4 linked regions of the Astyanax mexicanus genome follow. The protein of the gene in region 2 purifies or fractionates together with the protein of the main gene of each other region. This does not show direct contact. Links are inferred from orthologs where the notes say so. Each region holds a gene or a part of one and is shown on either strand. Other genes may lie near its edges.

The links.
Region 1: the proteins of aurka (region 2) and dicer1 purify together in Homo sapiens (affinity purification with mass spectrometry; 4 studies listed by BioGRID and IntAct, counting the BioPlex papers as one, with this or other methods). This does not show direct contact. The link is inferred for Astyanax mexicanus from reciprocal best matches to the Homo sapiens genes AURKA and DICER1.
Region 3: the proteins of aurka (region 2) and calcoco1a purify together in Homo sapiens (affinity purification with mass spectrometry; 3 studies listed by BioGRID and IntAct, counting the BioPlex papers as one, with this or other methods). This does not show direct contact. The link is inferred for Astyanax mexicanus from reciprocal best matches to the Homo sapiens genes AURKA and CALCOCO1.
Region 4: the proteins of aurka (region 2) and mtmr3 purify together in Homo sapiens (affinity purification with mass spectrometry; 3 studies listed by BioGRID and IntAct, counting the BioPlex papers as one, with this or other methods). This does not show direct contact. The link is inferred for Astyanax mexicanus from reciprocal best matches to the Homo sapiens genes AURKA and MTMR3.

Annotation. Positions count from the first base shown.
Region 1 is NC_064421.1:4,264,853-4,272,486, reverse strand, and holds the start of dicer1 (endoribonuclease Dicer), read right to left. Parts: upstream 3,066-7,634; 5' UTR 2,966-3,065; intron 1-2,965. UniProt on the Homo sapiens protein: Double-stranded RNA (dsRNA) endoribonuclease playing a central role in short dsRNA-mediated post-transcriptional gene silencing.
Region 2 is NC_064424.1:42,037,526-42,045,152, forward strand, and holds the start of aurka (aurora kinase A), read left to right. Parts: upstream 1-4,607; 5' UTR 4,608-4,617; intron 4,618-7,627. UniProt on the Homo sapiens protein: Mitotic serine/threonine kinase that contributes to the regulation of cell cycle progression.
Region 3 is NC_064420.1:1,176,846-1,184,941, reverse strand, and holds the start of calcoco1a (calcium-binding and coiled-coil domain-containing protein 1), read right to left. Parts: upstream 3,120-8,096; 5' UTR 2,945-3,119; intron 1-2,944. UniProt on the Homo sapiens protein: Functions as a coactivator for aryl hydrocarbon and nuclear receptors (NR). Recruited to promoters through its contact with the N-terminal basic helix-loop-helix-Per-Arnt-Sim (PAS) domain of transcription factors or coactivators, such as NCOA2.
Region 4 is NC_064419.1:34,446,806-34,454,327, reverse strand, and holds the start of mtmr3 (myotubularin-related protein 3), read left to right. Parts: upstream 1-4,344; 5' UTR 4,345-4,515; intron 4,516-7,522. UniProt on the Homo sapiens protein: Lipid phosphatase that specifically dephosphorylates the D-3 position of phosphatidylinositol 3-phosphate and phosphatidylinositol 3,5-bisphosphate, generating phosphatidylinositol and phosphatidylinositol 5-phosphate.

The sequences.
Region 1 (7,634 bases), on a different chromosome or scaffold from region 2:
TAAAAGAGACTGCCATATTTTTGGATTTTGTTGGAACAAAAACAACGAGCATATTTATTTGTGGCACTTTATAACAGCATTATTTTAACTGCTTAAACTTTAAATATTTTACAAATTATTATTATTATTATTATTATTATTATATTATTGCTGGATGCATTATAGTTTGAAGAGTTTCTTTTAAAGAAATATCAGCATTAGATTAAATAATATTAATATAGGTCTGGCAGAATAGATACTTTTCACTACTGTATTATAATGTCTCAGGATATAGTGAGCAGAGAGGGAGGGGGAGAGAGAGAGAGAGAGAGAGAGAGAGAGAGAGAGAGAGAAAGAGAGAGAGTGAGAGAAAAAGAGAGAGAGAGAGAGAGAGAGAGAGAGAAAGAGAGAAAAAGAGAGAGAGAAAGAAAAAGAGAGAGAGAGAGAGAGAGAGAGAGAGAGAGAGAGAGACATGTCAGTATAGAATTCCAATCCCAGCCCTAGAATGGAGGTACTAAATCTCTGGCAAGCAAATAAGTTTAAAAAAGGCTAAATAACATATGACGTCAAATTGCTGTACAGTGCTAGGATAGTAACATCAGCTAAGCTAAAGTAGCCCAAGAATTTGTTTGTTTACAAAAAGTCTGGCTGTGACTTGAGTAGCACTGCTGAGATAAAGTTATGGTTAGAACAGTACTACTGAGTAAGAGGTAAGTTAGAGACCAGTGGCACTTCTAATGTAAATGTGTTATTAGAATAACCCTGTTGAGACAAAATACATTGTGCTGGATGGAGCATAAATTATTCCAGAGAACACAGTTCAACAGTTGAGGAGCTTCATAGTTCAACCCTGCAATTAGGGGCCAGAAAATCATGTTTACGTCTCTACATTCTGTTTATTTGCGCCAGGGGGTCCTATTCTTTTGGCAGTTCTTTGTCAATAGTTGTGCTGTATCTGTACCCACTTTTTTATACTACACCACCCTTATAGTTTTGTATTACACTGTTCGGTATCCATCCATCCATACATCTTGCTTAAAGCAGCACTAAACCACCTGATTTTTGCTGACTTCACCCTCAGCTCAAATTTGGGTGATGTATGGGTTTAAGGGCAGGAAGAAGGAAGAGCTGATTGGCTGAGCTGTGCCTCTGATAGCAGTAAGATGCTGATGGTTGGAAGTCACCAGAGGTGGTATTATTAATTGATAGATTGATTGATTGATTGATTGATTAGAAGCTAACAGCGCTAGAAACAACATAGCTGAAAAGGTTCGTTCCTGTGTTATTTGTGCAAATATCACATCAGTGTTATATGTTTTGCCCAGTAATTCAGGTCTAAGGAACAAATGGTTAGAATTTGTCTATATAACACCACCAGTGAAGTACAAGTAGGTGTATGTTCTGTTTACACTAGTTAAAAATGAAAACCTGGACCTGGATTACCCACCTCTGTGTGTAACTATAGGTTTACATGGGATCTCCGGTGGATTTGGCATTTTACAAAGACTCTAAGACTATATCAGCGGCTGAACTGCACTTAGCAGTTAAAAAATACTCTTGTACTAGTATTACACTTGTTGTAAAATAACATATGACATTGCAAAGACTGTTATTAGTGTGAAAATGTCTTTATTTTAAAACGTTTTAACTGTTCTCCATCTCTCCGCTTCCTGACGTTGCAGTGCTGTTAACCAATCAGAGGCGATATGTTTGCATGTATGTATTCATGAGCAAGAGACAAATCCTGTTTGTTTCTACCCACCCACTGCTCCACCTGACTAAAGCAGCCTTATACCAGATTACCAGAGCTATTTTTTTATAAACAAAAACCAGCTCACATGGAATATATTCATACTAGAGACCTCAAAAAAATGATGGAACAAGACCTATAAATGTTAGGAAAGGTTTACAAAAAATTAAACAGGACTGGTATGTTTTTTTTTTTACTTCGGAAGAACACTTTAATAAAAGCTATTTATGATTTTAAAAAATGATTTAGGGTTTAGTGCCTCTTTAATGACAGATTAAAGATAATCACCCAGTGTGAGACTTTACACTATCTTACACTAAAGTCACTCAGATCTTGTGAATCTTGTGAATACAGCAGATTAAACTGATTTAACAGTGAAACAACAGCTTAAACACAGTAAATACTGTTATCAAAGTGTCAATACTGTAAATAATGTGTGTGTGCCAGACTCCAGGCCTCGAGGCGACCTTGGCCTTGTGGCTGCGTTCAGTTCACACAGCAATAAATCCATTTACAAACCCTAAAACAGCATTTCACCATGAGTACTGCATTCTGTAGCGCTCACACCTTACTATTACATTAATATATTAAGCTATAAAGCTGTAAATTTACAAATCTGAGCTGCATAGATTCTGTTCTGATCATCTGTGTGCCATCATGATGCTGAGAAGGGTAATTATATTCACATAAATCCGGGATAAGGTGATCAGATCATGGTTTGCAGGTAAGTAAAATATAGTATTTGCTGTTTAAACTTCAAAAACTGTTTAAAATAATAAAGAGCATGTAAAAAATAAGGTATAAGTCTGGTCAGCTAACGTTAGCTTAGCTACAGTGATCTGTATCCATATGCGCGCTGCAAAAACTAACCTAGGTTAGCTAACTAGCTAAAAAGCTAACTACATTATTAATTAAATTATATACAATAAAGCCATAAATACAGTTAATTTCCACAGTATACAAATAACCAAGATTTCACACCCAACTCCTGTCCGGTTTAATCTAAATTAACCTTATTTATGAGCTGAAACATAAGCTAAGCTATGAGCTAAGCGTGTTGGCCTGGCTGCTGATTAGCTTAGCCGCTATTAGCTTAGCCAGCCAAGCTAACGCACCGCGATCCGACATTTCTATTACACATTTTGCCCAAAATCGCAGATTCTAACCCCAAATCCGCCCCGCGGACAGTTTATAAAATGTGTCCCAGGTGTGGAGAGTAAAGATCGGTGTGTTTACCGGCTTTGCGCGGCTGGAGATCGCGGTTTTATCGGTGTTTAGTCCGTGAGTGTCTCTCCCTCCCGCTGCCGGAGAAACGGAGAAAAAGCGACCGCATACGGTTTTAGCTGCAAATTCACCCCGCGGGACTTTTATTCTACAATGTAAAAGTCCCTTCAGCACATTGGTTGTCAGATAAAATTATATTACTGACATACATAAATTTACTTATAAAAAAAATCGCAATGTATCATATGGGCAAAATATATAAATAGAGACATTTTAGATTTAGTTATTCTTGTTATCATTTTGGGTAAATATTATATATACTCATATAAGTGAAAAGCCATAACTCCATCATTCACATTGTTTATACATGATTTTGCCTTTTTTATATATATGTTTTTTTTTTCAGTGTAATATAATGTAAAATAATCCATTGCCCCTGTACAACTAAGAGGCAATGCGTAATTATTTGTAAATACAGTTTTAAGAGTTCTTTACTTTTTTATAATTTATATTGTATATATTGTACCCTTTATTTTATTTGTTATGCCTTGCTATCCATTTGTTGCTGTACTACTGTGAAATTCCCCACTGCGGGACTAAGAAATGATTATCTTATCTTCTCTTCTCTTTTCTTTTTTTCAAGTCACTAGAATATTTCAAGAGATTGAATAGAAATTGAATAGAAATTATATGATATCAAAGTCTTTGCTTTTTTAATTGTGTGAAACTTGACTTCCTTCATGTCCAAAAGACAATTATTGCCTCCTTGTTAGTATTTCTCTTTCTCTTAAGTGTTGCCTTATTCTGTTTTGTTTTTGTTGCTGTTTTTTTTTTTCCATTAGCTGAAAATGTACTTGTAGTGTACACTGGAAACCTTCCTAGAATAATTATTTTTGCTCTCACATTACTGTACACTTCTGCTACCTTTCTTGATTTGTACATTTACTTATTAAAAAAAAAGATCTCTGTTTTCTATTCATTAAAAAATAACTATTAATGTAAAATTATTAGAATTATTAATACATTATTTATACTAAGTGCCACAAACCAAATTGAGAAGATATAAAACTATAAAAAAACGTTTTAAAGTATTTTAGTAAAATATAAATATACCTTTTTTGTTACATACAGGAAAGTCACACATTACAGCAGAACAAAAAAACTAATAAAAAGCCTCAGAGAAGAGTGACATCAGGTGGCTGAAATAAATGTCTACAGCCTGCACTTTTCCCTCGAAGCACATAAACCCTGTGACATATGGGCCATGAGTGCAATTTGCTTTTTGTAACTCTTTCAAATTACATTTATTTTTAAAATCTTTTTCGAAATTGAATCTAATAACACATGTATTTGGTTGTTTAAAACATGTACTGGTCAAACTCAGACAGCTTTACTTATTTTTGTACAGTTGAAGATTATAAAACAAAGCTGAAGATGGTTACAAAACACTCATGTATCATTTAAAAAGAATGTGTTTAAAGCAAGTCCACTTATTCCTTTTATTTTCTCTCAAGAAAGCATTTATTTTAAAGAAATGGTTGACTGCATGTTCAGATAATTAATATTTATGACAAATAAAAAATCCTCCTGTTAATGGCACTCGTTCCTGTTACCAAAACTCACTCCTGTTACTGGTGTAAAGGAATTAAAAAGACTACAAAATAATAGAAAAATATTTATATATAATAAAATGAATTCTTAGTGAACAAAAGGGCCGGTTGTAATGTTTCATACTGCTGTTGGAGTTTGATTGATGTGCTGTAACAGCAAAAATTTATTTTTTTTGTCTGTTTTTATTTTGGACTACAATTCCCTGCACCAACAAGAAAACTACATTTTCTTTTATTAATTATCGCTCCGTGCCTCCAGGGTTGCCAGGTTTGCTGTTTCCCTCCAAATTGAGCTTGTTTAAGCTACAAAAAAACGTTAAAGAAGAAAGAAGAGAGTTCAAGAGGGGCAAGAACAGAAAAGAGTAAATAAAATAATGTTATTATGTTACTATTAAATGTTCTTGACTGAAAATTAAAACTGTTATAAATAAAATAATAAAACACTAATGTTACAATACTAACAATGACTTAAAGATAAATAACAATACTGTTCATAAATCCCTTATAAAATCAAGTAATTCACTCAGATGTTTTGCCATTTGCTTCAAACGTGTGACAAACTTAGATTTTGGTCTAGTTTAAGGTTCAGAAGGGTGTGTTTTAGACTGTGTTTGGACTGGATATTTTTGTTAGACCTGGCAACCCTGCTTCCGTACCTCATTAGGAGCTTGTACGCAGCGCAGGAGGTAAGCAGAGCAGAAAAACTCCGAAAATGTGCTGTTTTAAAATAATATATGTATTTTTGAGACACGTTCTTGGCAAAAGGAGGTTTTATATCAGTTCTAGACACATTTTTGTGTGTTTTTAGCAGGTATTGAAGCATATTTTGCCTAATAATTACTCATTTCTGGGTTACTAACGTTTTGGCGCCAAAACGCTAGTTACCACTATGACCGAACTGGCTCCCTATTTACTATTTAGGGCACTATAAAGTATATCAGCCATTTTTCTCCGAGTGTCCAAATCGTAAGGGAGAAGTTGCATGTGATTTTGAGGCACTATAAACTCCCATAATGCATCCTGATTTATAGTAAATATCGCCGTTTTCAGTGTGAGCTAAATGTGTCCCAGAATGCATTGCGAGACTCACTACTAATCAACAGACAATCGATCAAACGAAGCAGACAGCGAGCCACCAGGGTTGCCAGATTGATACAGTAGGAATCAGATAAGTCACTGTTTAAAATGTTTAGAATTAGGGGTGGGCAATATGGCTCTAAAATAATATCACGGTATTTCAGGGTATTTTTGCGATAACGATATACTTGGCGATATAGGAAAACTAAAATAATTCATTAATTTCAGGAATATAGTATAAGAGAATAACAGTATAATCATAATGTGGCAAAATAAATAATATAGCATAAAATAATACAATGCAGCAAATAATACTGCAGAATATTTAGTGCATGAATATAAACTGCGAACTAAAACAATTATACAATAAATACACCTAAAGCTTCACAGTAAATAATAGACTACTTTTAAGACAGAACAGCCCTATTATCACGATATGGATTTTTAGTATCATGATATTTCTTTGTCACGATATATTGTATACGATATAATATTGCCCACCCCTACTTAGAATCCTCCATAATACTGAGTAAAACAACCTTACAGCTAATGTTCAGCATATCTACAATATTACAGGGTTTATTCCAACGTGATCTTAAATAAAACACCTTAAATATTTTATAATATCACCAATTAAAAAAAAAACGTTATTTAAATGGTTTTATCTGCATGTTTATATTATATATGTGTTTTGTGCATTGTATAGTAGGACGAACGACCCAAAGCAATGAAATGAGTAAATACGTAGAGTTACATAATAACCAACACAAACACTTTTTATTTAAACTTCCATCAGCAGGACTGAAAAATCCGTCTCTGCAAGTTTAGCTAACTAACCACAACGCTGAAGAGTTATATTTTCAAACTCTTAACACTTTATACAGTCAATTTTAGACACAACTCAACATTTAGTATAAAACAGCCAATCTGGCAACACTGCAAGCTGATGTACGCTGTTTATTTCAGATGTAGTTAATTAATGTGAGGATTATGTTTGTAAACAGCGTAACTTAAGTATAACAGTCAGAGAGGAAGAGCTTCACTAATTTTAATTCAGAGCTCAGTTCAGTGTGTTTATGAAGTTTTAAACACGGTGTTTTGTCGAGTTGTGCTATCTTGTCAAACCGTGCTACCCTAGTGTATATTTAAATGTTTAAAATACATAAGTAGCACCATATTATAGCATGTTCCCTGTAGAAAGCCCAGTAAATGTAGCTAGTATTTTTGGATAGCATAAATCACTGTGTCATGGTAAAGTTATGGCAATGAGAGGTCATTACAGACTGCTTTATTTTATTTTTTTTTTGTAAATAATAACTATTGTATTTATTTTAATTAATTAATATTTCCACTTTTGTGCAATGACAGTGAGTCCAGCTTGTTTAATGCACAAAATACATTTCTATTATGAAAAAAAAAAACACAAAAAAGGTGTAGGTCGGCGCATGCGCACTACCTTTATGTATCGATGGGTAGCATAATGGGTAGCATAATTTGACAGAACACCGTTTCAGTCAGTCAGATGTTTATTTATGCGAGCAGAACGTTTTATACACGCTCTGAGGGCGTGTCTGAATTCACTTCTGTTTCACCACTACTTAGTGAATTCGGACACGCCCTCATCATTAACATGCGCCCGCTCTGCTCCCTTAAACACCTGACCGGCTGAACTGTGTTTCAAAACTCCATAAACACACTGAACTGAGCTCGGAATTAAGGTTAGTGAAGCTCGGAGCTGATCATGGAGTCAATAATCTCTCTAACTGTTATATTCACGCTGTTTAGAAACATAATCCACACATTAATAATGAACTACATGGAGAAACTCTTGAAATTAACAGCGTACACCGGCTTATAGTGTTGCCAGATTGGGTGATTTTATGAAAAATGTGGAGTTGTGCTTTGAGGGGTGGACAAAATGACCAAGTATTAAAAGTCCATCGTTGTTTGTTGTAGTTAGATATCTAAAAATTGCAGAGACAGAGCTTTATTCC
Region 2 (7,627 bases):
GCACGAGATTCGTAGAAACTGCTTTTTTTGTCGTAGATCAAAAAATGCTGTCTGCAATCTGTTGCTCTGTCTCTGCAACTCTTTTGGTTTCAGACCACCTCTAGACCCGAACCTGGACACTTTCTATGAAGTACATGAACTACATTTAAACTGGGAGGGGAGCAACCAAAAATCATAATAATAGTAATCATAATAGCGATCTATTCTGCCTGTCAAAAAAATTGTGTGCAATGCACACAACATTATGGGTGACATACCCAGAGTTCAAAAGAGGACAAATTGTTGGTGCACGTCTTGCTGGAGCATCTGTGACCAAGAAAGCAAGTCTTTGTGATGTATGAAGAGCCACGGTATCCAGGGTAATGTCAGCACACCACCAAGAAGGACCAACCACATCCAACAGGATTAACTGTGGACGCTGTAAGAGGAAGCTGTCTGAAAGGGATGTTCGGGTGCTAACCCGGATTGTATCCAAAAAACATAAAAGCACGGCTGCTCAAATCACGGCAGAATTCAATGTGCACCTCAACTCTCCTGTTTCCACCAGAACTCAGAACTGTCCGTCACCACAATAAATTATTGTGGTCTAAAATCAGGTGTTTCAGTTTCATTGTCCAACCCCTGTATATCTGCAGAAATAAGATTTTTCAGTACAATAACAGAGCTTTAATAAGTGCAAGGTCTGTGTTTAATTACGTGCTCATGGAGGAAAGAGACAGGTCTTCGTTGGGTCTTGATGTGTCCAAAAGTAGCCAGACACCTGCACTAATTAGTGAATTCTGCTACTATAGGTTCACCTATTGGTGGAACATGCATTCAGTTACACACACACACACACACACACACACACACACACACACACAGAGCTTTTATATTAGCTTTTTTCAGTGACCTTATCTCATATTATTAGCTAAAGATTGTCCTACATTGAAGCAGCTTCAGTAAGTTTCAGTATAATGTAAAACTACTGTTTTAATAAAAGTAAAAGTAACTCTTGAGGAATATTTGGAAGTTTTACTTTAAAACTTTTACACTAACAGTTGTTTTAGGGTTTTTTTTTCTTTACAGCACTCACAGTGTTTCTGTCATTAACTGCTGTGGATTTCCTTGGTCTACCTGTTCAACATCTGTTACTAAGTACACCAGTGACGACTTTCTTCTTCAGGACATTGCAAACAGTTGTTCTGGATATGGACAATATTTGTACAATGGCTCTGATTGAGTTTCCATCTTTTCTCAGCTTCACAATTGCATGTTTTTCACCAATAGACAGCTCTCTTTTTTTTTTTTTTATATAAATGCACAGATAAAACCCAAATCCGAAACTGAATGATGTTTATTATATAATTAATGTTTAATGATAATTCATGAATCAGGTCACACCTGGGCAACAAAACACACCTGAGAGTCACATGTTCCAATACTTTTGCTCACAAGAAAGATGCGTACTATCTGTGCTATCATCTAAACAGTGTATCAGATGCATTTATTATTCATATTAACCTTATATTAATAGTTTAATGTCAAATTCATTTTCAATCTACACCAGAAATAAAGCAATTGACCTGAATGTTCCAATACGTTTGGACCATTGTAGCTGTAGCTATATATATATATATATATATACACACACACACACACACACACACATATATATATATATATATATATATATATATATATATATATATATATATATATATATATATATATATATATATATATATATATATATATATATATATATATATATATATAATGTTTAAACATATGAACTTATTGAACAGTCCTGACCCTGTAAACCAAACTAAAACAAAAACAAAATCTCTTACATATTCGTAACTAATTTGTACTTATATTTATAGTTTGTAAATAGCAGAAAGCTGATTAAATCTGTATTTAATTACACAGCTTAGCATTTGGCACCATCATGTTTCAGACCTTTACAATTGTATTACTCAACAAATAATTGTTTTCCAGGTGCCTTAACTGGCCTGCATGGGGTCATCTGAGGAAATGCTGATGAAATATTAATGAACGCTTACAAACAAGCACAAGAACAAGCAGCGAAAACATGGGGGAAACATGGAGGAATCCTAAACAGATAAATGTTTTTAACAACCCTCAAGGATGTGCTTTACATATTTGTTGGTGTACATATCAGTGGTATAAAAAAAGTGGCACTCCTGATAGTTTTTATGATTTCCCTTTATAAATCATTGGATGTTCGGATCAGCAATTTCAGTTAAACACAGCAGACAAACACAGTGATATTTGAGAAGTGAAATGAAGTTTATAGGATTTAAAGAAAGTGTACAATAACAAAAAAATAAAGCTGGTCATTTTATTGATTATTATTGGAACACTAAATTTGTTTGGTATGCTCATTGACACTTGACCTTTATACACAGGTGAATCCAATTATTAGAAAGAGTTAAGGTGTCCAATTGCATGTTCTTTTCTCTCATCATCTTCTCTGAAGAGTGGCAACATGAGAGCCTCAAAACACACCTCTCAAACAACCTGAAAACAAAGATTGTTCAACATCATGGTTTAGAGGAAGAATACAAAAGCTCAAACCTCAGAGATTTCAACTGTCAGTTTCCACTGTGAAGAACAGAGTGAGGAATTAGAAGATCACAGGCACAGTTCTAGATAAGATCTGAAGTGGCAGAACAATAAAAATCTCAGATAAGCAGAGGAGAAGGATGGTGAGAACAGTCATAGTCAACCCAAAGACCTCCAGACCAGCTCCAAAGACCTACATCATCATCATCTTGCTGCAGATGGAGTCACTAAATATTGATGTTCAGTTTTTCTGTTGGGGTGCCCAAATGTATGCACCTTCTAAAAGTTGATGTCTGTAAGATTTGGGATTTGGGGTATTTAGGGCCCTCTCTGGTGAGAATGGATAATTGCACCAAGCATGTGGAAAAATTATGTTACACTGGGCGGGTGTGATGCGGTCTCCTTTCAGAGCGCATGAATCCGATTCCAGGTTATGTTCAGTCAGAGAGAGAGAGAAAGCAACTTCACTCCTTTGTTTCTTTGTTTTTACTATGAGTGAATGAGACACTGAGGTCTGAGTTTCCTCTTCTGAAGTCTCCATTGCTCCACCAGCCACTCGCGTTCAGTAAAACTGAGCCAGATCTTCTTTTAGAGGCTGTACATGAGACGTAAGTTTGTAAAGACACGTGACGTGGCCAGAAGAAGAACTCCCTTGAAAAGTGTCCTGACCCCCCAGTTTTAAGAATTAATATATAAGGCTTAGCAGGAATGGTCGTTTCAGCACACTGGTACCATTAAACACAATATTTTGTCCCTTTTCCACTCAGAAAAGCTTCTGTTTTCAGTTTAGAAACAATATAATATGGACTGCCACTTTTAAATTTTGTTTAAAGAATTATTGCACACTTTCTGTAAATCGTATAAACTTCATTCCACCCCTCAAAACACAGTATCACTATGTTCATCTGCTATAAGATATATTTAAATTAAATTGCTGATCTGAACAACCAATGATTTACAAAGGAAAATTATGAAAATTATCAGGGGTCGCAACTTCTGGACCAATCAGCACCTCCTAACTTCTCAACAAAGAAGTGATGTCACTGCCGAAACTACAGAACCAACACCATAGTTCCCTCTTCACTAGCGGTGTAGTAGTGGTTTTAAATAGGTTGCTCATAATAAGTTGTTTGACAAAGCTTGACAGCATTGAATCTGACTCTCAGGAGTTCCCATCACACCTCGCAAAACGAAGAGAAATCAAAGTGCACGCGCTACGGGGTAATGATGCACGGAGCGTGTCTTGAATAAGCTCTCAAAGCCTGTAATACCCAGCATGTGGGTCGCTCAATTTAGTCTGTTGTCAAAAAGTTGTACAGAATATGTAACAGTGTAAACAAAGGGATCATCAGCATTCGAGTCTAGTAGCAAACATGCCTGTTTACGTTGAGCTTTTTGTGATAGTTATTTGTAAGGATATACTGTACCAGTCATATGTCTTCAATCCAGTGATTTTTTTTATGTTTTTTTTTTAGTCTATTAATTGTAATAGATTAAGTCATCCAAAGTATTAAGAAAACAAATGGAATTATATAGTAAAAATATTTTTTTAACAAACAGAACATGGAAAAAATATTAATTAATTACTTGAATTTCTTTCTTGTGTTTGAGAGCGTCAGTTGTAAAGTTGTGAAGAGGTAAAGTAAAGTTGTGAAGAGGTAAATCCATATTATGAGAAGCAAAAACTACTCAACTAAATAAAGAAAAAAAAATACTTTAAGAAATGAAGCTCATTCAGTACAGAAAATGTCAAGAACGTTAAACAGATCCTCAAGTGCAGTCACGAAGAGCGAGAAAAATGCTGAAAATGATAAAACTTGGCTCTCATCAGGACCACCCCAGAAAAGGAAGAGCAAGAGTTACCTCTGTTGCACAGAATTTCATCAGATGCCTCAGAAAGCTTAGACAGTTAACAGCACCCCAGATAAAAGCAGCTAAATTCTTCACAGAGTATTTTTTGAGCTTTTGTTTTTTAAGTTGGTTTGTCTCATTCCGCTATAATCCACTTTTTCTTGTTCTTTGTGAAATACTATAGGTCTCTTTGAGTTGTACAGCAGAAGGAGTTATAGCTAAGGAGGAGCTTACAGCTCTGTTTACACAGCTAGTTAGCATTAGCTATCTTGTGTAAGTAACTGTAGGTTTAAATAGGATCTCCGGTTGATTCAACATTTTACCGAAACCTTAAATCAGGGGTGTCCAAACTTTTTTTTGTTGGGGGCCAGAAGGAGAAATATATATGAAGTCACGGGCCACAGACTCTGTAATAAAACAAATAATGAAATACACCACTTTAAATAATACTTTTTTCCTGATTATTTCATTTACACAATTTTACTTGACTTACTATCTTTATCTTTGACAGTGTTGTGTAAACTAAGATTTTTCATATTGATGTTTCATTTCATGATGTCTCTTAATATTAAACTCCTTAATTACGGCAACATTTAGACTCTTTGGCCTGTTTTTCTGCGCTAGAAATGCGCACCCTTTCCCCTTTTAGACTCTTTGCCCAGTTTTTCTGCGCTAGAAATGTGCACCCTCTCCGCTTTTAGACTCTTTGCCCCGTTTTTCTGCGCTAGAAATGCACACCCTCTCCGCTTTTAGACTCTTTGGCCCGTTTCTGACACCTAGCGTTCAAACTTTGAATCTCACATTATAAAAACCTGCTTAACAGCGGGCCAACTTTCATTCTATTTTCTAAAATACCTTGCCGGCCGCTCCAAAAAAGGAAACGGGCCGCAAATGGCCCGCGGGCCGTAGTTTGGACACCCCTGCCTTAAATATACACTAGGAAAGCACGGTTTGACAAGGTAGCACAACTCGATAGAGCACCAGTCAAAGCGGGAGCCGTTCACTTTTACAAGATTTTACAAGAACCAAATACAGTCTTTCTTCAGAGACCTCTCATTCAGTGATCTAAATCAGGGCTAAATAGAAACACCTGAACCTGAGCACTTTTTTTTTTTTTCAGAAAAAACGGCTCACATGGCATTCATTTATACTAGTGACAACAACTAGATATTTTAAAATAAATGAAAAAAAAATGATGAAATGAGACCATCAAGACTTTTTAAAATATTTTTACTGCATACTATGACTACCTATTAAGAAAAACATTGTATGAGAAAGTGTGCCCAAACTTTTAACTAGTACTGCACAGCTTTTTATTTTGTGTACACTACACCATAGAAGTAATTAAATGCTAACTTGATCAGTATTTTAATTAGTAATTTATAGTCTAGGTGGCACAGTGGTGCAGTAGACAGTTCAAGAGGTCTGTGGTGGTGGGCCAGCTCTGGTCTTCTTTTGGGAGGAATTTGGTCTAAACTACATTTGGCCCAGTTCTGCATGGCCGATGCCAAGGTTCAGCTGATGCTGCCATGCAGCCGATTCTTCATACTGTCTGGGCATGAGTGTCCATGTGGGTTTCTTCTTCCTCTGGTTTCCTCCCACCTTCCAAAAACAAGTGTAGGTCAGGTAGCTTTGCTAAATTAACACTTAGGTTTGAAAGGATGTATGTTGTAGCCTATGATAGATTTAGGCTGATAGACTGTCCAGTGGGCATTCATGTCTTGCGTGCATTAACTCAAGGCAGGCTCTAAGCCCACTCTGTCTCATTGGGTTTGCACTTGGGGCCCTATTTTAATGATCCATACACCTATAGATCACTAAAATAGGGCCTCCAAGTCATAAACCGTGCACCATGCAGCTTAGGGCTGAGGGATTTAGGACATGTTAGTGTGTTTTTGCTATCATAACGACAGGAAAAGTATGCCTTACGTGGCTCCAAACGTACAAAAGGCGTGTACAAAAGGGGTGTACAAAAGGGGTGTGTTTTGGGTACTTCTCAGCAGAAGAAACATGACCTGGTTGTTTTTGTTGCTGTGAAGGTGAGCAAGCAGATCATTTACGAGAACAGCGATGTTATATTAATTTGTATTATATTTACTGTTCGTGTAAAAGTTGGATTTGTGCACTGCACAGAAGTTAAAATACGAATCCACCAAAATCAGTCAGTTAAGAGCACTTGGTTCTCAAACGGAATGGTATGCCCAAAACATGCCCATGATTCGTTAAAATAATTAGTACATGCCATTTGTGCATCTTGAGCTGTGCAAGGGATACTTATCCCATCGTTACAATAGCAAAGACAAACTGCCATGCCCTAAATCAATCTGCATGGTTGACAGTTCGCCAAAATAACAGTTCGCTAAAATTCAGGTAGCCCAGTGATTAAGTGTGCTCAATGATTCAGGTTAGGCTTCGGACCCACTGTGACCCTGACCACAAAGAAGCAGATAAGTAGATGGATAGATGGAAATGTGGATGGATGGATGGATGGATGCATGGATGGATGATGAGCCATTAACCAGTAATGAGGTGGTACAGTAGGGATTGTATGGCCTCCACAGCTGTAGTGGTACGGGTTTCGGGTAAGATGCTTGCTGTGTTCCCTATTTGTAAGAAGTTTAGTGGGTTCCCCCAGTGTTGATATGGCTTTCCTTCAGTAATAGTAGGTAAATCGGCTATGCTAAATTGCAGGTTACTGTCGTTTACCACTGTCTTTTTGCTGTGAAGATGCTTGAAGATGAGGAAGAAGACACAGCAGACATTGTCTTAGGTGTAGTACAATGATTTATTACAAAAGACTAAGGCAAAACCTTCAAGGCTTCCTAGGCCAGCCTTGGAGAGAGATGTTTTCCGGATTTGAAGTTTCCGCTCTCTCTCCCCCTCCCCACTCTTGGGGGCCTCCTTATATATGGTGATATGGTATATATCTGGAAACACTTAAGACATACATAGCCATAGACAGCCATAGACCGAAACTACCTAAAGAATAGCATACCTGTCAAGTCTCCCATTTTGGCCGGGAAACTACCGTATTTTACGCCTCTTTCCCGCCGTCCTCCCGTTTTTTAATTTTCCCGTAAATGTCCCGTATTATATTAATATTAAAAAAAAACTTTATTATTAAGGAGACGGGGCACTGACCGCTCTGTGTCTCTTAACCAATCGTGGTGCCGGTTCAGGGAGAAAGTCCCGCCTTTCAGGAGAAACA
Region 3 (8,096 bases), on a different chromosome or scaffold from region 2:
GAATAAAATATATATTTTTTAAAACATTCGTCTTACCTAATCCACATCTCTTAAAGAGCCACTACACCTAAAACCATCTTTTTTCCAATAATATCTGAAATGTGTTCCTTCGAAGTAATGAAACATCAGTCCTGCCTAAAATTATTAGAAACATTTCGTTTATAATAAACCTTTAAAAAATGCTGACTTCCAACCATCTGCAGCTCAGCCAATCAGCTCTCCATCCTGCTCCGCCCCTAAACCCATACATCACCCAGTGCCCCTCTAAAACTATTTTTTTTTTGAGCTGAGGGTGGAGTCAGCAAAAATCAGGGGGGTTAGCGCCCCTTTAAGAAATATCTCCTGACAAATGACCAACTTGTACCTAATAGCCATTTAAAATAAAAACTGAATAAACCTTTATTAACAGGGAAATCAGTCGAATACAGCAAGAGCTCTGCATATAGAGCCAAACAAATCTTGTGACGGACATCAAAAATTAATTTAATCATTTAATACTAATTTAATGTTTGTCCTACCTAATGCACATCTCTTAAAGAACCATATTTTTTTTATATTCCTGAAATGTGTTTATTTGAAGTAATAAAACATATCAGTCCTGCTTAATTTTTTAAAAAACTTTCCTGACCTTTAAAAAACACTTTATTGTGGTCATTTCGGCCTCTGCAGGCGAGGATGATGTTTCTGTGTACTCACAATATGCAGATCAGAAAATCGATAAAAACAATAAGACAATCAGCTCTCCATCCAGCCCAGTCTCTAAACCCATACATCATCCAGTGCCCCTCCCAAACTACTCGTCCAAGCCTTTTTCAAATTATACATATAAACACTGATTTAAAAGTAATTTGCTGTATTACGAAAGACAAAGTACCAAAAAACTGAAACTCACAAACATTATAAAACCTAATTTATTCACTCGATACATTAAAATATGACCGATAGAGCTACACTGACAGGTATAAACGCTTTTAAAGCGCCAAATCTTGCGGCTGTTCGTGAAATCAATAATTACTTCATCTAAAAATGTCTGTTTACAGCACCATCAAAGAGCCGCAACATCATGGGCGGAGAAGGTGGAGACGGTGGAGAAGTTCATAAAGAGAATTCAGTCTAACATCTGTACAGAGAACTCAGCTAGATAACACACTGAACCCTATAATTATTATAAACCTTCAAACAACCACCAAAATAAAAGACATGAGGGAGGAAAAGACAGAAAGAACAAAAAGCCTTTCTCTCTCCAAATTTAAAACCCCTAAAGATCAAGTAAATGTATAAATATAATTATGTTATTAAAATAATACAGAAACTGGGGAAGCGCAGTTCTAAAGGCAACAGGTGACTGAATGAAAGCAATACAGTACAACAGAACCAACAGGCCAACAGGGCTTTAATTAGCAACAGGAAACGGAACATATTGTATTACAGGCCGACACACAGAGAACACTGTTAACTATGTACCGAGAGGCTATTCTGAATAATAGGCTGCTTAACAGAATACTTACAAAGTCACAAGCATGCAAATGAGATTATAGAGTATTATATTATATTATATTATATTATATTATACAGTATTCTCAGTATTCTTATAACAGTAATTATTAGCCTGTTATAAACATTTACACAATAACAGGGTTCTCACACCTAGCTATAGCTCTTCATACTGTCTTGAATATTGTTCCTAGCCCCTATTTTTAAGAGCAGTTTCTACTCAAGTCTTAAACAATTAAAAATATGTTTAATCTGATCAAATTTATATAGGATGAAATGACTTTTCAATATGTGAGACAATAAGTATGTATAATCAACATTATTGATTATATTTACTAACTGCTGCAGCCCTAAAGTACACCTAATTTTTATATTAATTTACAAACTGAATGAGAAGTTAGTACAGTCTTATCTTGTGAAAAAAAAGCCTTTTGAAGTCTTTTTTTTACATTTTGCTCAGTAAAATAAACAGATAAATTTGAAAGATATTAAAGCAAAGACAGAACGGCTGCTTATCAGTACTTAGTTTGGCTATTTTCAAGGAGATGCAAGCAGGAATAAGAAAGTTTAATAAGATCATCTTAAAAATGTTAAAATTGATCTAGCTAGCTAAACAATTAAGTCAAGTGGAAACAACTAAAATATCTATATCTGTATAGATACAGTAACCTAGCTATTGTTCTGCTTATATTGTTCTGATTGGCCTGCTATCTACAAAAAAGTCTGTGAGTCAGCCAATCAGCAGTGTTTTTTTTTTCCTTCTGGACAGGATGATGGGATGCGGTCAGGAGCATCATGGCTCCCATCAAAACTCATTTCACCTCAGACTACTCTAAAGTATATCTCTGTCCGTTAAAAGTATTAAACAATGAAAGCCTTGCTCGCTGTACAGTTTGTAATAGTGATTTTAGCATTGCCCACAGGGGACTAAATGATTGCAAAAGGCATGTTGAGGTGAAATAATGAAGTATAAAGTGTATATATAACTTATACCTCCATGAAATTATTTTTTGCAACTTGGAATGTCTCACTGGAAAATAAAATCAGGGATAAAAGGGTTAATCTTAATCTGGTCACCTATCTAGTAGATTAATCCTTCTGAACATCATTTCTTTGGGCCTATATGGTGCCTTTAACATCAGGACAGACTGTAATTAGCTATGTTAGCTAGGTTAACTAAATTACAGTTTGCACATGAGGCAAATGAGGAAAACACAAGGCCTAAAGCAGCCAGCACAGATGACCACAGGCTGCACGCAGCTTTAAACACTGATAAATACACTGATTTTACAACTGTAATCAATAATAATCCAATGAATAATCCGCAAAATTAAGATTATAACAAGCAATTCGTCAAACTGACCGTTTTTTCCAGCCGATATTCATTTTTTGCTGCGTGTAAAACATGCAGTCAGACTTTCTGCAGCTTTTTAACCTCTAATAAACTCACCTTATTCACTCTCAGCTCCTCCGCGCTGATTCTCCTCAGCTGTCCGGTGTAATAAACCCGTTCCGCGGCTCCAGCGGCTCCGTTTTCCCCCTAAAACGGCTACCCGTCCGCAGCGAGGCCGCAAGCGTTTAACAACAATAACAAAAACACAAGCATGGCTGTTTCCACGGTGCCGCTGCATCACGGGAAGTGTAGTTCTCCTGCAGTGCGAGACTATACAACACTGTCTTATAAAAACTACAATCCCCAGACAGCAAGAGGATCAGCTCCGTTCGGTCAGCAACGCGAAACGTCACGTCGCATGTAACAGCGGACTTTACTGTGATTGGCTGACGTTTGACAGACACCTCACATGACCCTGTCTCATTGGTTGAGATTTTGTTTCCTTCCTTTTTAGACCAATGAAAGCGGAAACGTCACAGCAGCGGCGTCCCCTCATAGCATTGAGGGTAAAAAGAAGACACGCACGCGCACGCGCGCACACACGCACTGGTCAACATGTGACGATTGCGAAGTCAGTGTGGGAACTTAAAGAGAGAGTAAATCCACAAAGTTAAATATCTAATTTAACCAGAATTAACGTAAAACTATCGTGTCCAATAAAAAATATGAGTAATGATATTTTATAACAACTTATTATACTTATATACATAACATATTATGTTTCTGTCCCCAGGAAATTACATATATGAATGTGCACACAAAATATTTTTTAAATAAATAAATGTTTTTATTAAGCACAGTGTCTTGTACATTGACCTAATTGCAAAAGTAAAAAAAGTGTAATAAAAAATATAATAAATTGTCCTAAAAACAAAAATAGCATTAGTTACCTATCCCCCACTTTTTAACTATAAACTTTACCATGAAATATTATTAATATAATCCTTCAGAGGTGTATATATTTTTTGCATTGTTGTGTGACTCCCATCAAATCCAATCTATGCTGTAAAAATATTTTTTTTCTCAATAATGCCATAATATTTAAGTTAAAATACACATTTTAGTCGTATCCTTGTTAAGTTTAATTTGGAACAGTTACAACAAGCAAATGGCCCTTATATAAAATAAGCATGTTAATTAATAGCCTCTTACTGGCAACATCTGGATAGAATTGTCTGCGCAGAAAGACTTTATGAAGTGACTGGCAGAAATCACATCCATATTCAATGCAGGTGGTCCCATATTTATACCCCATAGATCAGTACAGCTAAATTCATATTTTACTTTACTTGGAAAAATTCTCTTTAAAAAAAAGTCTTAAGCTTTAGTCCACTCTGTCACAGTAAAATAAATTACAATAAATACAATCTATAAATATTTTTTCTATTTTTTACTATTTTTTTTTTACTGAAACATGTTGGATGCATGCATGAAAGAAATTAAAATAAGTAATAAAGTATTCTGTGTAAGATATTTCTGTGTAATCTTATGAAGAAGTCCTGTAAATATGATGAAAAATCTTCTTTTTTCAAGTTTGAAGTGCAAAAAAGTCAGAATTATAAAAAATGACAAATTAAAATTTGGCTTTTTTTTATTGATTGTTTTTATTTATTTATTTATGCTGCTGTGGGTCTGTACAGTGGTTAGAGATGGTGTTGTTTTCCTCATTACTGAAGCACTGTGCTGTAAACACCATGCTGTATCCTAATCGCTGACTCCCAGGGAAAACCGAACAGCCGGTTGAGGCGGCAGCGGGGCAGCAGTGCAGCAGTCGGAGGCCTGGCATTACATTCATTCCTCCAACTGTTTGTCTTCCCCAATTAGGCTTTAAAATTCAGAGTTAAAATTAAACCACTTCCTCTGTTGTCTACTTCACAGTAATATGTGACACATCCTGGTAAAACTGTGCAACAGCGACAGATTCCTGTAATTCAGATTTTTATTTAAGAGGCACTAAAAACACTAAACCATATTTATTTCTATTAATAGCTGAAATGTCTTCCTTTATAATAGTAAGACATACCAGTTCTGATTTAAATTTTTATAAACATTTACTAACCTTTAAAAACGCTTTTATTAGTAAAAAAAATAGTTTTATTAGTCATTTCTGCCGCTGCAGCGCCCTCTCAGGTTCAACTGTGCTATAGGTGAGGATGATGTACACAGACACTCAAAACATGCAGATCAATTAATCAATAATACCGCCCCCCTGCTGACGTCCAAACATCTGCATCTCATGGCTATCAGAGGAACACTGCTCAGTCCAATCAGCTCTCCCTCTTGCCCCACCCCTAAACCCATACATCACCCAGTGCCGCTCCCAAACTACTTCTTTTAGTTTCTTTTTTAACATTTTTCAAATCAGTAATACATAAATTACCTGATACATGATGATTGAATTGCATCAAATTAAAGCAATTGCATTCGAAATGTCTTATATTGCCCAAATTCAAAAGCTACAAATATTCATACAGCTCTGGAAAAAATAAGAGAGCACTTCAAAATGATGAGTTTCTTTGATTTTACCAAATTAAAAACCTCTGGAATATAATCAAGAGGAAGATGGATGATCACAAACCATCAAACCACCAAACTGAACTGCTTGAATTTTTGCACCAGGAGTAAAGCAGCATAAAGTTATCCAAAAGCAGTGTGTAAGACTGGTGGAGGAGAACATGATGTAAGGCTGCATGAAAAAAAACTGTGATTAAAAACAAGGGTTATTTAACCAAATATTGATTTCTGAGAGAAATTGGGAAAACTGTTGTCTCTAGTATATTTAGTCTATTCGCCATTGGGAAAAAATCAATCATTTGGTCAGTGCTCTCTTTCAGTTCTTGGACTTTTGTACAATTCTTGTACAATTACACAGTATTATCTGTTCTCACAGCAGAGCGCCTTAAATCTTTAACAGAGCTGTATAACAGACAGCAGGTGGCAGTACACTTTAACTAAACCTGCACTAAAGATCCTGTCTGGAGGTGGAGGTGGGGGGTGTGATGATGTTCTGAGCTGAGTGCTGACTGTAGAGTCTAATATTTGAGCTTGATGTGAAAAATGTGAAAGTGTGATTTGGTGCAGGAGAGGTATATAGACTACTACTTGCTTATTAACTGAGTATGACTATATATATATATATATATATGCATACATACACATATACAGCTCTGGAAAAAATGCAGTTTCTGAATCAGTTTCTCTGATTTTGCTATTTATAGGTTTATGTTTGAGTAAAATGAACATTGTTGTTTTATTCTATAAACTACGGACAACATTTCTCCCAATTTAATTCCAAATAAAAATATTCTCATTTAGAGCATTTATTTGCAGAAAATGAGAAATGGCTGAAATAACAACAAAAAAAGATGTAGAGCTTTCAGACCTCAAATAATGCAAAAAAAAAAAAAGAAGCTCATATTCATACTTATAAAGTTTTAAGAGTTCAGAAATAATCAATATTTGGTGGAATAACCCTGGTTGGTTTTTAATCACAGTTTTTTCTTTTATGCATCTTGGCATCATGTTCTCTCTCCTCCACCAGTCTTACACACTGCTTTTGGATAACTTTATGCTGCTTTACTCCTGGTGCAAAAAAATTCAAGCAGTTCAGCTTGGTTTAATCGTTTGATATGGTTTGTGATCATCCATCTTCCTCTTGATTATATTCCAGAGGTTTTAAATTTGTCCCTGTTTTTTGTTGAGTTTTTTATTTTTATTTTATTTATCTGAACTGTACGGCACCATTTCGGTCACCCACCTTAATCAGTAAATTGCATGTGGTTTTATATATATTGAGAAGTGTTTTGAAGCTTTGCAGTATGGGCTTGAAAACATTCCAGGCTGTAATTGCATAATGAGATGTTTATAGGCTACAGGCGAGGTAAAGGGAATACTCTGGGTTGCAGTAAAACACTACTCAGCCATATTATCTTTCATACTTTCGCGCGGCGAGAGAGTGAGACGGATGGAGGGTTATACTGGAGGGAAGAAGCTTGTTGAATTTGGCACAGTCCGCTCCGAGCTTCTCTGCTATCGGGAGGTCATAAGTCAGGGTGATATACGGGCAAATTAAAGCATAAGTGTTGATTTAACACTCACCCACCCAGGGTAAAGATTATAGTAAATACGTGGACATTTCACTTTGTCTTTTCCCCTTTTTTCTTTCTTCCAGCCCTTTGGAAGACCGTCCACCGTCCACAAAAGTGTTTTTATATCCCCTGCAGCTCTTAATCGAGCTCATAATGCAGCAGCATGACTCTCCCTGATCTTTTACTACTGGCAAAACATCTCAAACATCTTCCTGCTGGTGGAACGTGTTCGAGGCTATACTGTAAAAAAACAACAACTATAGAATCTACTCAAAAAAGTGAGGAAACAATCTGCACTCAGTGTGTTTGGGTAGATTTCACCCCGTGTACTGAGTAAAGAAAATACGACATGATTCCTGCTTCTTCATAATTCATACTTATTAGTTAAATATTACATATTATATTTCAAAATGACTAGCTAAAAACCTCTGCAAACTTTACTTTCTTACACTGAAAAAAATGATGAGTAAAATTTACCCCCCCAAAAAAGTTTCGCAATTTTCTGCATTTGCTTTTTTTTTTAGTAAATTTAATTTCAGATAAATTTAAGTAACTTCAACTCAGCTTAAAGACTTAAATGTTACACAGAGTAAATAAGTGAACTGAACTTCAGTCAGTCCTTTCTTTTAGTAAACTTTACTTCATTTCTGTATACAATATTACCTAATTACAATTACTTAATTTATACAATATTACTCAAATAATTAGGATACATATTATATTATAATTCCTGAAATGTAAATATTTTAGTTAAAACACACATATTACACTGTCTCAACACATGAATGGCATGTAATACGCTCTTTTTAGTACACTAAAGTACTATAGCATACTAAAAAAGAATGTATTACATGCCGTCCATGTGTTGAGGAAGTGAGACTTAGTAAATATTACTAAAAGAAAGGATTGACTGAATAAGTTTACTTATTTACTCTGTGTAACATTTAATTCTTGAAACTGAGTTGGAGTTACTTAAATTTATCTGAAATTAAAGTGACTTAAAAAAAGCAAGTGCAGGAAGTTGCGAAACTCAACAGTGAAAGCGCTAGCTAGTTAGCTAGTTAGCTAATTAGCTAATTAGCGTTAGCTCTATGAAAACCATGCTCATGTATACACTTCCC
Region 4 (7,522 bases), on a different chromosome or scaffold from region 2:
AGAGTGTAAGAAATATTTTATTACACAGAGTGAGCTCAACAAACACCAGCGCATTCACACTGCAGAGAAACCATATTACTGCTCAGACTGTGGCAAGAGTTTTATTCAGAGAAGTGGTCTAAAAACACACCAGCGCATTCACACAGGAGAGAAACCGTATGACTGCTCAGAGTGTGGCAGGACTTTTACTCAAAAGAGTGGTCTAATAAACCACCAGCGCATTCACACAGGAGAGAAACCATTTCACTGCTTAGACTGCATGAAGAGTTTTAAATTACTGTGTACTCTCCAAGTACACCGGCGCATTCACACAGGCGTGAAACCATATCACTGCTCAGAATGTGAGAAGAGCTTTCGGCATTCAAATTCATTTAAGGGACACAAGTGCACTGAGAGCAGTAACAGAAATTTGCAATAACACTTCTTTAACCATCTTAGGTCACAGATCTGGGGCCCACACAAAGAGCATGACAGAAATAATAATCAACTAATCTGCAAAATAATCCACAGATTAGTCAACAACCAAATTAATATAAGCTGTGATAAATTTACAGATAGGTAATAATATCAGATATGCAGATCTATAGACTGACTAGACTTATTAATAGGACCACATATTGTTAATGTAACTTTGACAAGTCATATGTTTCCATTGTTTTACACATGAGGCTGAAGTTTGATATTCGCAGCTCCAGATTTGTTTGGCTCTATATTTGCAGCCTCGTATTCCCCGGCTGAAGCTGGTTTGATTTTCGCAGCAACTGCTTCACTGAACGGAATTACTTTTGCTGTCAGGTGGAGAAAGGCTATTTTGGTTTCAGGGAATATTTAAAATTGCAGGGTGCAAAATCATTTGCCACCTATTCATTCCTGTTGGGGGAACCAGCAAAATCCAATGCTAATTACACACATCACAAAATTAGATTAACAAGTCTGCAGTTTGAATGATGTATGAAGTAGTGTAAGTCAAAGTGATGACTTCAGCCTCCAAATGGGAAATTTGTTGTTTAACAAAAGACGGGCTCATCACCTAGGACAGCAGAGAGCATGAAGATCCCTGATTCATTTGATACAACTACTATTAAAGGAATTAAATTATTCTTTTAGCCATCAACATTCTGATGGGCTTAAATATATATATATATATATATATATATATATATATATATATATATATATATATATATATATATATATATATCAAGATCTTTGTAATCTCATACAAAAATAAGGCTTGCACAATTCCTTGTTGGCTGTGCATCAACCAAACAAAGAAGTGAATATATATTTACCACAAAAACAGGGCTTGCAGCTTTTGAGGTTTTTGAAGGGAAGAGCATGGGTGGTGTTGGTGGGGGGTGTCAGCGCACAGGTGTGTGCAGGGTTGCCAGTTTAAAACTCGCCCATCAGAAGCTTAAACTAGCCCAAATATGTCACACGCTTAAATCAATGGCTTAGTATTTTGTTTTTATGGAAATTTTATCAGTGTTGCTATTTTTAAATTAGCAAAAAAGACCTGACCTCTACTCTTTAACATTTTTTTCATCGACTTGTGATTTCTGGTTACATTGTGATCTCTCTCTCTCTCTCTCTCTCTCTCTACCTTTCCCTTTATCTTTTCCATTTGAGGCCTTCAGTACAGGGGTAAGGGAAGGCCTTGTAAAATGAAGGGAGTAATGGTCTATTAGTATGTCTGTGTATTTTTTTTGTTTGGCAAGTACCCAGTAAAGAACGAGATCAAAACAAATCACCATGAGTTTTCCTTTTTTGTGTGCAACACTAGAACTAAAATGGGTGTGAAAAATGGCTGCCGAAATTACTGATACTGATAGTTACTGATAATTAACATTATTAGCTGAATACAATATTCTCCTAAATCAGCTGTGGTTAATTATATGATGTAAGTACAAAACCCATAATCGTATGATGAGATTTACTTACTGTAATGTACGCTCTTTAAATATGGCGCCCCCGCGTCGTCCTGTGTTGGTCTGCAGCGCCTTCTTGGAAAGTTATTGGTTGGATCACGTACATTTTACCCGGATACTGCGATGCTATTTTTTGATTGGCTAGTGTCTAGCTATAGTTCTTAATGTATTGACTGGTGTGGGGCAAGCTTCTTCGTCCACAGTTACAAATATCGGGGAACCTTGGCGGGCGTTGTTCTAGAAATGCCCGTGGAGGAGCAAAATGAGTATTTTAAATAAATAAAAATGTATTTCCCCCGTTAAATCATAAATGTTATATCTATGACTGCATAATGCTAGATGGAGCTGCTAGTGAATCCTCAATGTACAGAGAGTTAAACTGCTAAAACTTTACAATTAAAAATACCATCTAACTCTTTGTCCATGATTATAAAGTATATAACCATGAAAAAGAATAATAAAGTATTATGTTTTAAATATTTTAACAAAATACTGGTTGGCAAGTGGATTCTGAAGTAACAGTAAAAGCACGCTGATTTTACCTGAAGTATAAAAGCATGAAAATGCCTCTTTGTAAAAACATTCGATATTGTTTGATTTATAAATATAATATGATTTTGCTCAATTGCTCCGATATGAACCCATTAATTTTAGACTCGCGCCCTCTAGTGTCTGCAAACTCTTTAGAGATTCTCAAGTGGGTATTCTCTTCTTCAGAGATTCATACCTGTCAAGTCTCCCGTTTTGGCCGGGAAACTACCGTATTTAACTCCTCTTTCCCGCCGTCCTCCCGTATTAGTATTTTCCCGTAAATTTCCCGTATTATATTAAGATTTAAAAATATATATTATTGAGGAGACAGGGCACTGACCGCTCTGTGTCTCTTAACCAATCGTGGAGCCGGTTCAAGGAGAAAGTCCCGCCTTTCAGGAGAAACAGCCAATCAGCTTGCAAAGGAGGGTCAGCGTGGGGAAGCCCCCCGTCGCTGTGAGTTCAGGCAGCTAGTCGGAGCTGCTGATGTTAAAACATATCTGGATATTCAGCGATTTTTCGGTAGGCTAATCATGTAAACTGTGATGAGATTTTTCTGATAGCTGCTTAAAAATACTCGTCTCCGAAATAAAACACACAGATTAAACCTTTTAAAATAAAAAAATTACAGCTTGTGACTCGTACTAGAAATGTGGAGAGGACCGAAATTAACTGAACTGATCAGTAGTGTTCAAAAGAAAAAAGTATTATTTAAAAATTATTAATTGTGTAGGCCACTTAGGACTAATTTTTACTGATGGAATATGTGTGGTCCATTGCCTTTTAGTAAAAGCTCATAATACTATTTTTAGGTCACCTACAGTCATTTTGCAGAATTTGTGCACCCTTTGTTCAATTTTAAATCTATTAAATAAAAAAAAATATATATAATATAAAAGAGTGCATTTAAAGGCAAAAAAGACATGAAATCTTAACTTTTTTTAATATCTAGAAAAGGGTTTTTAATTTGGCTGTATTAAAAGAATGACATATGTAGGAATGTCCACAACATTTCAGATTCTGATAATCTAATTGTAATTTGTAAGTGGTTCACATGTGGTTATTTTAGATTTTTTGTAAACCTGCCTTAAAATGTAAGAGATACTGAACTTTCGTTGGGCTGGTGGGACGACTTTAAGCGGACGGAGGAAAATATCCCTTATTTTTAAATCTAAAACTTGACAGGTATGGAGATTCACTGCACTGGAATTTTTATTGGTTTAATTGTCTTTGGGTTAAATGTAATTAATTAGTCTGACACTGATATCAATTAAAAGTAATAAACACAAAACGCCGAGGTCAAAACTTTTTAGTAAGTAGAACCAATTGGCTTATACGGTTTATACGGTTCTGTTTACAATGGTACCGTTATTCCCTCTTCAGTCCCCATCACTATTGCACTATTGTTTTGTGTCTCACGTATATCTGTGACCTTGTTGTATTGTACATTTAGTGTCTCTGATTCTTTTATATTTATATTTTTTATCTTGCTGTACTTGTTGTAACTTTGGGAAGGAGAGTAACGTAATTTCAGTCATCTGTATGTCCTGTGCATATGCATTATTTACAATAACACGAATTGACTTGGCTTACTATAAATAAGCTTTATTTTAAAAGCAACTTAAATTTAAATTGAACAAAACAGCTGAGTACAGCTTTAATTGTTCTGGAACTTGAAAAGTTGTTCCCAGCTGGATCCAAAGAATAGTAGGTTCCACTAAATCTGGTGCAAAGACTGGCTGTTTCATTGAAAAGCACAATGTTTCTTGGCTCTTTGGGTGTAAAAGGGCTGTGTGATTGAGTGTCGACCCCAGAGCGGCCAGCAGATGGCGCAGTGATCGCTTTTCTGCGCTGCGATGTAAACGTAGCGACGCTCAGGCGTTACGTGATGGCGTCACTGCTCGAGGCTGGCGATGACGGCGGGGCTCGGCGGAGGGACGGACTGAAGGCTGCAGATGGATACTAGGCGAGATTTGGTCATTTTTTCGTCGTTTGTTTTATTTCCCGGGTCTCGGAAGAAAGTACTGGACAGTTCTGCAGCGGAGATTCCCCGGAGGTTAGTGCTCGGGCTCGTTTCTGCACTTCTGGCCGCTGCGTTTGTTGGCTGCGGCCTTGGCTCGGGGTCCGCCCTCCGCTCGGTCTCATAACAACAACAAAAACACAGCCCGCTCCGATAGCCTAGCCTAGCTAAAGAGCCGAGCCGGGACGGGCCGTGTGGAAGTGGTGGTGTATAAACTACTTCAGCTAGATGGTAGTGAGCCGTCAAGAACTGAATATAACAAACGTACAGCGACATTGTGTGATTCGCTGCGGTGTGGAAACAGCGCTGAATGTGTAAAAGCTGTCGGAAATGAACGTTAGCCGACCTGCTAGCTGTGCGTCCAAACTCTCAATGGAAACTTGTTCATTAGCTCCGAGCATACCCGCTTTGGCAGGTTGGCAGAAAAACAGTAGCGTTAAGTTCTGTGTTGAGAACAGGGCTTCCACTAAATATTATCGTGGTAGTCGAATAATCTGACGATTATTTGTCTGACTGGTCAAAAAGTCAACGATTATTTCAGCTATACCCTCAACCTCTGCCTCCTGTGGTTCCAAGCTCCCGTTTCTAGTTTTCTTTATCCCTCCAATACAACAGAAACAGCTGAATGTTGGATTTAAATGACCAGAAGACAATTAGCTATTTGATATTTAAGGAAATATGTTGTAATCTGTAATCGGTTGTGTGTCTGTTAACGTTACTTTTCGTGACTAAGCGAAATGTAGACTAAGTGAATCTCTGCACTTTGTGCAGTGTGCATTACATTTACAATTTAATGATTCGTTGTCATTGAAATTTACAGTAAAATAATGTTGATTATACTGATTAATCGTTAATCGTTGCAGCCCTACAAGAGACACACAGCTTTTTCTTTCACTGCTCTGCTTTTTTTTAAATATTTGTGCCATACGGGGCTGCAACAAATATTTGTAGATTGTAATTTTTTTTGCTGAATATCAGAGCATTTCACATCTATCCGAACGTCTTCTGGTCATTTTAAGAAAATTTAAGTTTCACGTTAAGCAGTTTTTATCATGTTTGAAGCGATAAAGAAAGCTAGAGACAGGAGCAGTAGCCACACAAAACCGAGACGGAGAGCATGGCAGAAATAATCATCAACTAATTAGAAAAATAATCGACAGATCTATTATTATCATCTGTGATATATTTACAGATAGGTAATACTATCAGGTATGTATATCTATAGAGACATACTGACTAGACACATTACCAGGATCACATATCATTAATGTAACTTTGACAATTCAAATGTTTCTATTAATTTATGTAGAATTTCGTTCTCTTCCATAATTGCATTGCTGCTGTTGGAAATTGTAATTCTGAAATCTCCACTATAATGAAGTTTCATTAGAAGTGGTAATGATGTGCAGTTCAGAATTTTGTAAAATTTTCTACTAGAAAAGTTTCAGTGTTTCTACTATTAAAAAGTAATTCATATGCAAATAGATTATTAATGTGAATTTGAGTGTCTAAAATGCCACATAAATCAGTGGTGACGTGAGATATGATTAGGTAAGACTAGTCAGATAGCTGAAAGCAGAAATGAGAGTTTCTACTAGTAAAAACTGCATTATAGAGATTTGAATCGAATTTGAAGGTTTGCTGGTTAACATTACAGAAAGGTTTTGTTTTTGTATCATTGTATTAGTTCGTGGCACATATAGTATTTTTTAAAATCTCAGATTTGTTTAAGAACAGGACTGCAGTGAGTGGGTCACACAGATGGGGCAGGAAATCAGAGCAAACAGAGACGGAGGCTGTCTTGTGTCACTGGGAGAGTGACACCTGAGAAAGTGAGACTGACCGATTCTTACACCGCCCACAGTTAGAGGCATTGACCTAAATGTAAGTCGAGAATTGAAGAAAAGGTGCACATTTGTCACACAGGACAGAGCTGCAGTGTGCTTCATGAATGGCCAACATTGACATAGGGCTTGCCCTTCTTGACAGGGGATTTCTTTTACTTTTAGCAGTATTTTAGGCTGGATTGCAGGATGGGCACTGCTTCGTATTTTTATCGTACCTGTTGTATATTAAAAATATATATCATGTGTGCCCTTGCTAAAAAAACCTGTTGTTTAGCTGCAGTGGTGAGGAGAAGCACGAGGCCTAGCGCTCACACTAGTAAACATTAGTTTATGTGCGCGTCAGATATGGTTTATCAGTTGCTGCCAGACGTGCTCTACGACCAGTGCGCTAAATAGAGGCTTTTGGTTGGGCACTGGGCTGCCCTTGTGTGTGAGCTCATGCCATATGACTCTCAGGAGACCCACAGGGCTGTAAGAAGCCCTCTGGCTGGAGAAATTCCACCCTCTCAAGACATAACAATCACTTAGCTTGTTTAGTTGGAGACATCCTCACAGTGTGTTGCATATGAGCAGTGTTCTTTATTAAATGTGGAATATTGTTTTTGTCAGATCAGAAAACAACAAAACAATGAAGGTTCTTTTTTTCTAAGTCACATTTGTCTGACTTAAAGAGTGCTAAAGGAGCATTATCCAGAGTCGCTGAGATAAAAGCACACAGATAAAACAGATAAGGTGAAGCTCTCAGAGTCTACAGGAACTTTCACTTTTTTTGTGAATGGTGTCTGGTCACATTGGTCACTTTCCTCAAATATGTGTCGCTGTAAATGCAAATTTTTAGTTTGTTCTGTTGAAGGTTATGGTTCTATTTAAAGTTGTTTTGCATAGAAGCCCTGGATTATTGTTCGGAAATGTTTACAGTAAAGGGCAGAAGTGCAAGGCATGGCAATGCCGATGAAGGGATGGTGTGTACACAGTGGCCGGTTGCTCCCGCTGGCATTAGTTCAGTGGTGTCACTCTTCTCCACATGTGCGCATGAGTAATACATCTCTCTCTCTCTCTCTCTCTCTCTCTCTCTCTCTTCCTCTCTCTCTTCCTCTCTCTCTCTGTCTCTCTCTCTGTACTGTCACTACCAGAGACACTATATTTACTGGACAGTAAAAACAGGTTTTGTTGAAATGGTGACACAGCCTATTATT